Arabidopsis thaliana: one gene and its partner. The protein of the gene in region 1 interacts with the protein of each later gene in a pairwise test. Each region holds a gene or a part of one and is shown in the gene's direction. Other genes may lie near its edges.

What was found. The genes of interacting proteins can lie anywhere in the genome.
Region 2: the proteins of AT5G44080 (region 1) and GBF3 interact in a two-hybrid assay, tested with the Arabidopsis thaliana proteins (one large-scale study listed by BioGRID).

What each region holds. Positions count from the first base shown.
Region 1 is NC_003076.8:17,736,880-17,741,958, reverse strand, and holds AT5G44080 (Basic-leucine zipper (bZIP) transcription factor family protein), read left to right. Parts: upstream 1-2,009; 5' UTR 2,010-2,224; coding exon 2,225-3,172; 3' UTR 3,173-4,085; downstream 4,086-5,079. Other genes in the region: CAD1 (phytochelatin synthase 1 (PCS1)), read right to left, coding at 4,287-4,373, 4,635-4,900, 4,990-5,079.
Region 2 is NC_003071.7:18,998,370-19,004,383, forward strand, and holds GBF3 (G-box binding factor 3), read left to right. Parts: upstream 1-1,810; 5' UTR 1,811-2,058; intron 2,059-2,444; 5' UTR 2,445-2,489; coding exon 2,490-2,555; intron 2,556-2,642; coding exon 2,643-2,687; intron 2,688-2,769; coding exon 2,770-2,865; intron 2,866-2,958; coding exon 2,959-3,042; intron 3,043-3,129; coding exon 3,130-3,171; intron 3,172-3,255; coding exon 3,256-3,462; intron 3,463-3,550; coding exon 3,551-3,599; intron 3,600-3,685; coding exon 3,686-3,861; intron 3,862-3,952; coding exon 3,953-4,030; intron 4,031-4,141; coding exon 4,142-4,267; intron 4,268-4,352; coding exon 4,353-4,532; 3' UTR 4,533-5,034; downstream 5,035-6,014. Other genes in the region: LRB1 (BTB/POZ/Kelch-associated protein), read left to right, coding at 1-94; TRIP-1 (TGF-beta receptor interacting protein 1), read right to left, coding at 5,287-5,362, 5,471-5,550, 5,651-5,737, 5,831-5,920. UniProt on the Arabidopsis thaliana protein: Binds to the G-box motif (5'-CCACGTGG-3') of the rbcS-1A gene promoter. G-box and G-box-like motifs are cis-acting elements defined in promoters of certain plant genes which are regulated by such diverse stimuli as light-induction or hormone control.

The sequences.
Region 1 (5,079 bases):
TTTAAAAGACATGTAAATGGAAAAAGAAAAAATTGAAGTGTCCTTGTATTAGCATAATTCTTTCAAAGAGTTATAGAAAAAGATAAATTTGGAAAAATAAGTTAAATACTGAAAACATTTATTACTTGAAAATAGTAAAAATAATGAGTAATAACCAACTGATTAGAAAAAAAATCACTATAACATGGGGCACAACAAACGAATTCTTTCATCTCCAATACAAATTGCACATCAAACTTCAAAATTATCAAATCTTGCATGGGGCACGTGCCCCAGTACTCATACACTTGCGTCCGCCCCTGTTAGTCTCTACATACATTACACGCAAGTAAGTTAAAAAAAAATCAGTCGCCGATCGCTGACGTATCGATTACAAAAAGAACAGGGTCATTCCTTTTCAAAAGCCATAGAATTTGATAGCAAAAAACTTAGAGATAAGTTCAAGTAAACTGAGATAAAAGAGTAAAGAAGTACGTGTCCAGAAATCGCTGTCCACAGAGGTTTGTTCATTTAACTCTGTTAAGATGATCTTCTCGATTGGATTTTAAGGTTTTAAAATACAAGTCCAAGTTTGATTTTATATACAGAACATCTCAAGATATAACATAAATGATCACAAATTCAAGGGAAAAACGTGTCCAGAAGTCGTTGTCCACATAGGTATGTCCATTTAACTCTGTTAAGATGATTTTCTCGATTGGATTTTGAGATAAAAAGGTAAAGAAGAACGTGTCCAGAAATCGCTGTCCACAGAGGTCTGTTCATTTAGCTCTGTTAAGGTGATCTTCTCGATTGGATTTTGAGATAAAAAAGTAAAGAATAACGTGTCCAGAAATCGTTATCCACAGAGATCTGTTCATTTAACTCTGTTAAGATGATCTTCTCGATTTTGCTCCAAATTTTTAACATCTATATCTTAAACACAAACGTAGAAATCAGTCTAACATCTGTGAATGAAAATTAGTCTCAGATCTAAGCTAAAATCTCCATCAATTTCACAGAACCAGAACTAGCAACAAGGTTCTTCAATAAGTGAATCAACCATCAAAAAACTTATAAACCGTTTATGATGAACACATAAGATAACCAGATTTTCTGAATATATACAACTCAAATATAATCATGAATCAAATTCACAGAACATGGACTAAGCAACGAGTTCCATCAATTAGTGATTCGACAATTGCTATCAAATAATTCGAAGTCCACTGCGAGGCTTTAATCTCCAATTTAAGAGAATAATCTCGAATATGAAATTGGAGAAGAAAGACAAAGAATTAAAGAGCAAGTAATCAGATTAATTTTGCAACAAATAACAAAAACATAAAACAAAAACCAAACCGCAAATCCAATTCAATTATTCAACGAGTCATGTAACTAAATCAGCCAGATCGGGCAGATTCTCAAATTGATGGTTTGAAAAAATTCTCCTTCAAGTCAGATCAAAGCAGATGTGGAAAATTTAAAAAGCTGAATTTCAATCTCTCTTTCTCATAAAAGCGGATGATTTGTTGAAGATGGAAGAAGGAAAAAGGAAGAAATCTATTTTTTGGCTTGATTTTTGTTTATTTCTCGATAAAGTAAAAGAAAAAGAGAGAATAAATAAGAGAAGGAGAGAGATAAAACGATATGTGATTAGACGATAAATGAGTCAAATCATCTATTCAAAATGCTTTATCTTTAAAAAGTGTCTAACCATAAAAATGTTTTTTAAAAAATATCTTACAGTGTAATATTCTCTAAAAACAACTACCATCGAGTTAAAATAACGTCATTAAATTACCTTAACTAAATTCAAGTAATAATAGTCAAGTTATAATACATTAATGATCTTGAAATAATTGATGCAAGTTTGACAACTACAGTTTGATGACACGCGACAAAACTTCCCACGCGCTCCAAAAGTTAGAAAATCTTATCCATTTTGATTTTAACCTTATCCAATTTACCAAAATCAGCTCTTTTCTTTGGTAAGTCTAAAAATTAAAACTCACGTGCCACATATGCGCGTGGTATTTTAAAAAAGTAATAAAAGTCAATTAATTACAATTTGGGATAAATTACCAAAAGTTCTCAAAGGTTCTCAATTCGACACAAAAAGCCCTAATCTCTGCTTCTGTAAAGTTCAACATTTGGCGGAGTCAAAGAAACAGAGTGATTCTCTGATCCGATTCCGGCGAAAGAGGACGAAACAAACGGAACTTGTTCATCATCTTCTCCAGAAATGACGTCGTTTCAGGTGATGCGTTCTTCAAATTCGAGAAACTCGGATCTATCTCGTCGCATCTCTTCTGCTTCTACTTCTTCTTCGTCTATAAGACCTCAACAACAGTTCCGGCGAGATCTAACAAGTGTCGGTTACGGCGGAAGAAACGACGGATTATACAGTTCAAATTCGATGACGGTCGAAGGGATTTTACACGATACTTTCGCATCAGATCCACCAGCACCAACGGAATCTTCACTCTTAGATGCGTCGATAAATCTGATGGATGCTTCTCCAGCACCAATGGAGATAACAACAACGACGGCTTCTGATGTTGTGGATCACGGCGGAGGAACGGAGACGACGCGTGGTGGGAAGAGTGTTGATGAGATTTGGAGAGAGATGGTATCAGGAGAAGGTAAAGGGATGAAGGAAGAGACGTCGGAAGAGATAATGACGTTAGAGGATTTTCTAGCGAAAGCTGCGGTGGAAGACGAAACAGCGGTGACGGCGTCGGCGGAGGATTTGGATGTGAAGATTCCGGTGACGAATTACGGATTCGATCATTCTGCACCGCCGCATAATCCGTTTCAGATGATTGATAAAGTAGAAGGATCAATAGTTGCGTTTGGGAATGGTTTAGATGTTTACGGAGGAGGAGCTAGAGGGAAGAGAGCGAGAGTGATGGTTGAGCCATTGGATAAAGCAGCTGCACAGAGACAGAGAAGGATGATTAAGAATCGTGAATCTGCAGCTAGGTCTAGAGAGAGGAAACAAGCTTATCAAGTTGAGTTAGAAGCTTTGGCTGCGAAGCTTGAGGAAGAGAATGAGTTGCTTTCTAAGGAGATTGAAGATAAGAGGAAAGAGAGATACCAGAAGTTGATGGAGTTTGTGATTCCTGTTGTTGAGAAACCGAAGCAGCAGCCACCACGGTTTTTACGCAGGATTCGGTCTTTGGAATGGTGATAAGAGGTATAGACTTTTGAGGATTTTAGGGTCTTAATGTTACTTACTTTGTGTATGTGTGTGTGAGAGTTGATTCATAATCTGCAGTAGAGTGTAATGATTATGGTTAATAACTTATATATTATATTAGATTGCATATGTTATTGGTTTTGCTGAGATTGATCTTATTTAGGCTGATCATAGTGAAGAGGGTACCAATGGAAACGAGATTCTTCATTTTGTTCTGAAAGATCTGGATTTTGGTCCTTATCCATGTCTGTGGAGGTAAAGCGAACAGAAGTGCAGTGATGACATCGTTTCCTGCTATGTACTTTGCTTCTGGACCATACTCAGAACCTTTGGTGACAGATTGGGTTGACGGCACCAATAGGCCAACCTCTTGTTCATTATTGGTATTAACTACCATCCCTGCTGTCACTTTAGCTTCCTCAACCCCAGGCATCAATGCATTTAACAGAACTATCTCGACAATAGAAGTCTTTCGATGAGCTTCCAGATAAGATAAGAGCTCCTGAAGTTAAGAACTTTCTGACGTGCTCCAACAGTTACAGTTCCATGCACTTGTGTCACTGCATCTCGCTGTGACCAGAGATTAGATAATCAAGTCAAGTGAAGATATTGATGGCCACAATGAACATTTAAGTAGGAGAATGAGATTTGAAAATCTCTCTGAATCATACATAGAATAAAGAGATTTTCTAAGAATCAAAACCATATCTCTGTCAGTATTTATAGCCACTGATCGGTGAAAAAGTGACCAGATCCAGTCTGCAATAGGATCTGTTAGAATCCGGATTCAAAATTTGACTGTCTAATACGAATGATCCTTAGCAAAACAGTGTACACAGTTGGGACTAAGGGATACTGTTGTTTTGAATGTAAGCCTTTGGTACTTATTTGTGGATAGTGGATTCATAATCTGCATTTGAGTGTGATGAAATATGATTCTAGGATTCTTAACTTATTGTGATTAACAATTTATAGAATGCAAGTTACATATATCTCTCATTGCAAATAGAGTTTGAATCGTACAGAGAATAAAGAGACTTTCTAACAATTAAGTGTTGAGAACGTGGGATTCAAATGGGGAAGAGAGAGGATTTGGGACAATGAACTAATAGGCAGGAGCAGCGAGATCATCCTCTTCCTTGTTCTCTTGGCATCGTTTTAGCAGCTGAAGTTGCCGTCGAAGATGCAATACCTGCATTTACACCAAATTCACCACGTTACTCATCTGCTTCACAGATTCATTTCACCAAGTACTCATTTAGATTCGGCATTTGATTTAGCTATATCTAAGGATGAACTCGAAAATAGTCATTGTCAATCTCAACTTAGATTAAGTTATTTGTTTCTTTTCCAAAAGACTTATATATCTCAAGTACAAAGATCCCATTTTCCACTAGAGAGAGAACCGTGACTCTTGATGATTACCGATAAATAGAATTGGTAAAAGCGTTACCTCTTCTTGAAGCAAAGTTGGGAGGGAAGCCATGGAAATGAGCTGCTTCATTTCATGCATAAGAGCTTGGTCTTTGATCCCTGACCATGTCTGTGGAGGTAAAGCCAATAGAAGTGCAGTGAACACATCGTTTCCTGCTGGATAAGTTGCTTCAGGACCACATTCACACTCAGTTTGCGTCGATGGCACTAACAGATCAACCTTTTGTTCATTCCCATCACGCACCACAACTCCAGTCACCACCGTGCCTTCAGAGTCATCAGGACCTTAATAGGAAACAAAAAATTAACAGTTGATCTAACACCAAAACTTTTAACTATGATAAGAAATTTGAAGAATCGACATGGCGACATACCTTTGATGCATTTCACGCAAGTTTCCCGACAACAAAACTCTTTTGATGGGCTTCCGGATAAGATTTCAGCTCCTTGGCAACAAGCCTTTG
Region 2 (6,014 bases), on another chromosome or scaffold:
TTCGTTCATAGCCGAGGACAGTCAACATTTCATCAATGGCATTCTCCATCTCAGAGCCGAGCTCACCATTAAACGTTCCTCAGACCTGCACTGACTGTTTTCTTCTCTCTCTCTCTCTATGTCGTCACATTTAAGTTGTATAATCTCGTTATGTAGCAGCTCTAACCACGAGTGTCCTTTGTACAATAATTGCCTAAGGAGCAAAAGTATGGCTTAAAGAGTACCTCATTCTGTAAATTCTTTGATTGGATTTTTTTACTTTTCTATATGGGTCTTTATAAATAGTCCAAGATAGAATTTGGGCCTAGCTTTTGAGGTTAGTCTTAAAATATGGGCTCAAGGCCTACTACGATGCGTAATGATGAAGCTAAATTGCCTATAGTGTGAACATTAGGCTTTTATATTCAAAGTTCAAACAATGCGGCTATAGCAATGGTACATCGAGGAAATAGAATGAAGTGACAAGGATAATTTAGGAAATGAGGATAGAGGAATTGAGTCCTCGTCACATGGGGCCCACATAAATGCGTAAGTAAGACTATCCGCTTACCAGACGGACACGTCATTTTGTCGGGACACGTTTGAGCCGTTGGATGATTAATCTCCTTTTCTGACTTATCGACCCCACTTTTTTTTTCCACTACAAAATATTGATGGCCACGTCAGATGATTCGAAGTTATATAAAACACACGTTTTTATTGCAGCTTAACCGTCGATTTTTTTCTAATCGAGAAACCGAGATCAACGGTCTATATTCAAAGCTGATGTGGTCTGTACCTTTGCTTACGTCACCGAAAACCTAAGTTGAATAATACTAGTACTAGTATTATGCTCTCTGATTTCTTTCTACAGTACACAAAATAAAAATAAACAAAAATAGAGAGCCCAGACAATATTTACTACATCACCCAATGGATAACCGACACGTAGATACATCCATGTGAGTCGCATTTTGTAATGTAGGGACCACTTCGTGGATAGAAGCTCTTTTACGCCAACGCAAAAAAAAAAAGCCTCGTTGGCCCTTTAGCCTCTAAATGCCAATAACTATCTACTGGCGTGGCTTAGTTTATACCGTTGGATCATTTGTTTATCCCAGCCGTTGGATTCGAAGCAGTTGTCGGGCTTGTGGGCCTTTTCTTTATTGTTTTGTTTTCATAATAATGAAAGAAAATAAACTAAAAAAGTATTTTTTATTTTTCCTTTTATGGTGATTCCATGATGGCAAAAACGTGGCCATACACGTGGGTCGTCTCGTGGCACCTTTGGAAGATACGAATCGGTAGTGAATAATGGACGGTTCGGATCTTTAGTTTTGTCGACAGAAGTGCTCTCCGCGTCGGAGATACTACTAGTCAAAGGTCTTTTCTTCCTTCGTATTTTACCATAATGTCCCTTCTTTCTAATCAAATTTTTATCATGTATCCAAATTATTCGAAGCAATATTCTATATAATAAACAAATATGCCCATCGGTAAGTAGCAAAAGTTAAATTGTGTTTATTTTCATGCCATACAAAAATAATGATTCTGAAAATTCGTTGGAAAGATTGTTTAGTTTTCTTATTTTTATGTTGCACATGACTTCACTGACGTGTGAATGTGATGACGGATTTTGAAGAGGATTATACACTATGGTAAATATCGACTATAAAAATAATCTAAACATGAGGGAAGCGTAGAGCGACTAGAAATCGAACACGTGTACGGTAGAGATGACATAAGAAATGGCTGGCACTAAACTCGATGAGCCAACTCATCAAACACCACCGTAGTTTACGCTGTTATATATTCTCATGACACGTGTCTGATGACGTGGTCATCGTCTTGGCGCTCCGTTTTTTTTCTCTCTCTCTCGCGTCTCCCTTCCCTCAAAAAAAAAAACTGAACTCTTTTTCGCTCTGGTTTTTTTAGAGAGAGAGAAAGATGAAAATGCGTTTAATTGCTGTTTAGGTTTCGAATTCGCGATTTAAATTTCTGGGTTTCTCTCTGTTTAAGCTTCTTCTTCTTCATCTTCTGCTTACGTTTCTTCTTCAAGGAGCTTTCGGATTCTTGTAGGTATTGCGTAACTTAAATGGTTCAAATAGAGATTGTTTGGTCGAATAGTTTTGTGATTTGGTTTCTCTATCATTCATTGATCTTCTAAGTTTTGTGAAAATTTTGCCATTTTTGATCGTTTGCTTTTGCATTTACTTGAATTGAATGAAAAATTATAAGTTTTGAATTTGAACAAAAACAGCTAAAGCGTAGAGAAGAACAGAGTTTCTTTTTTTGGGTGCATGTGATTGTTTCAGGGGTAGAATTGTCCAGTAGTGTCTACTTTGTTGATTCCTTTTGTCTTCCTGAAAGTTTTCTGAACATAGGATGTGAGAGAGAAATACTATTTTACCCTTCTCTGTCTCTATATTTCTCACACAACAACACCCATCCCCATGATTTTGCAGAAAGAGTCATTGTTCTCTTGAGTGGGAAACCTTGAAACCATTCCTATGGGAAATAGCAGCGAGGAACCAAAGCCTCCTACCAAATCAGATAAACCATCTTCACCCCCGGTGGTATGTTGAACAGTTTCAAACCATAATTCCAAAGTCAATTTAGTTTTTCTTAAATTCCTTATGCGTTGACTTGACTCTTGTTGATAGGATCAAACAAATGTTCATGTCTACCCTGATTGGGCAGCTATGCAGGTTAGTCTTTTTTTTATTACGCTCCAGTTATGTACTAGTAATACCATGATTAATAATGATTTTCATGATGTGTTGCTGCTAGGCATATTATGGTCCAAGAGTAGCAATGCCTCCTTATTACAATTCAGCTATGGCTGCATCTGGTCATCCTCCTCCTCCTTACATGTGGAATCCTCAGGTACTAAACACAAACACGAATCATCTTGTGCTAATATGGTAAAGATTAGGAAGACGTTTCATTGGTGTTTTGTTGGTCTTAAATCCCTTTCAGCATATGATGTCACCATATGGAGCACCCTATGCTGCTGTTTATCCTCATGGAGGAGGAGTTTACGCTCATCCCGGTATTCCCATGGTATATAGTAATTCTGTTCCTCAAACATCTCGTAGTTGAATCCTCCGTGATCGTTTATCTGACTTGGCTTTGAGTTTCTGTGGACAGGGATCACTGCCTCAAGGTCAAAAGGATCCACCTTTAACAACTGTAAGTTGTATACCTAGTTTGATACATCAAAGATTGAGAAATGGTTTTGTTCGCTGTTTAATGGATAGTTCTTCTTTATCGCAGCCGGGGACGCTTTTGAGCATCGACACTCCTACTAAATCTACAGGGAACACAGACAATGGATTGATGAAGAAGCTGAAAGAGTTTGATGGGCTTGCTATGTCTCTAGGAAATGGGAATCCTGAAAATGGTGCAGATGAACATAAACGATCACGGAACAGCTCAGAAACTGATGGTTCTACTGATGGAAGTGATGGGAATACAACTGGGGTAATGTTTCTCTTCTCTTACTCTCAGCTATCTTTAGTTTTCATATGATTGTCTAAAGTCTAGAACCTCACTTATTGCATGTTTCCAGGCAGATGAACCGAAACTTAAAAGAAGTCGAGAGGGAACTCCAACAAAAGGTATATAGCCTTATTCATGTCCCAAAGAGTTAGAATCAGTGTAAATATTAGATATAATGGGAGTTTTAATTCGGTTTTTTTGGCAGATGGGAAACAATTGGTTCAAGCTAGCTCATTTCATTCTGTTTCTCCGTCAAGTGGTGATACCGGCGTAAAACTCATTCAAGGATCTGGAGCTATACTCTCTCCTGGTGTAAGTGCAAATTCCAACCCCTTCATGTCACAATCTTTAGCCATGGTTCCTCCTGAAACTTGGCTTCAGGTACCCTGTGACTTATTCTCAACTTCCACTTGTTGGATTTTCGAGCTAATCTGATCCGTTTCCCTGACCAAGTATTAAATTTTGTCTTCAGAACGAGAGAGAACTGAAACGGGAGCGAAGGAAACAGTCTAATAGAGAATCTGCTAGAAGGTCAAGATTAAGGAAACAGGTTTGGTTACTGAAAGAATACACTGAAGCTCTTTAGAAATTCTTTCTCTTAGTGTGTAACTCTCACCAAAACATTTAATAAACTAACAAACTGTCTTTCCTTGTTTTGAAGGCCGAGACAGAAGAACTTGCTAGGAAAGTGGAAGCCTTGACAGCCGAAAACATGGCATTAAGATCTGAACTAAACCAACTTAATGAGAAATCTGATAAACTAAGAGGAGCAAATGCAACCTTGTTGGTAAGTAAGCTATCATTAACCAACAAATTATCTTTATGAAGGCGTGTCATTTTCTTGAACATGGCCGGTTCTTTTTGGGTTGCAGGACAAACTGAAATGCTCGGAACCCGAAAAGAGAGTCCCCGCAAATATGTTGTCTAGAGTTAAGAACTCAGGAGCTGGAGATAAGAACAAGAACCAAGGAGACAATGATTCTAACTCTACAAGCAAATTGCATCAACTGCTCGATACGAAGCCTCGAGCTAAAGCAGTAGCTGCAGGCTGATCGATGGTAATTCATGTCGATTTCTACTTAATTTGTCGACATAAACAAAGAAAATAAGTGCTACTAATTTCAGAAAAACTTGATAGATAGTATAGTAGAGAGAGAGAGAGAGAGAGAGGTGTGATGATTATTGATCTATAAATTTTCGGAGAGAGAGAGGGAGAAAGAGAAACTTTTCCTCCAGATGAAAATTTGGTGTTATGGTTTGTTACTGTTAATATAGAGAGGCTTTTCTTTTTTTATAAAATGGCTTCCTTTGTTGCATTTCCTTGTTTTAGACCTGATGTAATTTTATGAAATCGGTGTTATTGCTTTGCGTAAGCTTTTGTTTCTTTTGTCAAGGTTTCATGCATAAAGGATCTTTCTTTTCAGGTTTCATACATCTCTCTCCGAAAATTTATAGATCCAATAATCATCACGAATATCACAAACATTATGAGTCTGTCTTTGGGTGATTTTCTTCGCTACTCTTGAGGACTGTCAATCACACAAGGCATTCTTTTCTACAACCGAGTTTATTTTATAAAAGCTGAATATTAATGCTCGCTCACACATAGAGCAGGTTAATTAACTTGTACTGAGAACTCTGGAAATGAAAACTAAAGATTCTGTCAAAATTCAAAAGCTTTATCATCAAGGTATTTGTATTGGTAGTAAATAAAAACATGAAAATGTTAAAAGAGAGAGAAAACAAAATCCGGAATGGGAGACTTTTTCAAAGATTCTAAAAGGTTGACGTTCAAGTAGTCGGAATCTAAATCTTGATGTTGAAGTAGTCGGAGTCAAAATGATGCAGCCTCACGTAACCGTCTTCACCTCCACTAGAGAAACTGAAATATACATTCCACAAACTCAGTGAGAGAGCCAAAACACACACTCAAAACCTCATCATGTGAGGATTGTGTCAATCAATCAAAATCCAAATGTTGTTAATTTACCTCTTCCCATCAGGATTGAATGCCAAAGCATTTATAGGTCCAAAATGACCTTTCACACCACCAATTTCCTCTTGCAGAATCTATATATTATACCAAACACAATGATACACGGTTATTTAAATATGTGTATTTTCCAGGTTACATGTTTCCAAGTAAAACACTCTTATTATAAACACTAACCTTGTCGTAAAACTTAGCTTCAAACTTTCCAGCACGATGATCAGTGGTAGTCACAGCTGATGCATCTTGACCACCTCCAAGTACAACCTAAAAGAGAGAGCAGAAACATTCACAAAGATAACATCATGCCTTGCTGATTCTGGGATTCGAAATTGAATTTCATGAAGCATTAGTGCATACATGGTTGAGAAGTGGAGACAGGGAGACAGCATTTACGGGCACCACAGTGGTGTAAGTCTTAAGAAGAGTCAGCGTTCTCATGTCCCAAAGCTGAAACAATCAACAAAAGAGAACACTCTATTAGATGATTTATATCTATATGTATAGTGCAAAAATTTGAAACAAGATATACTGTACAAGTAAA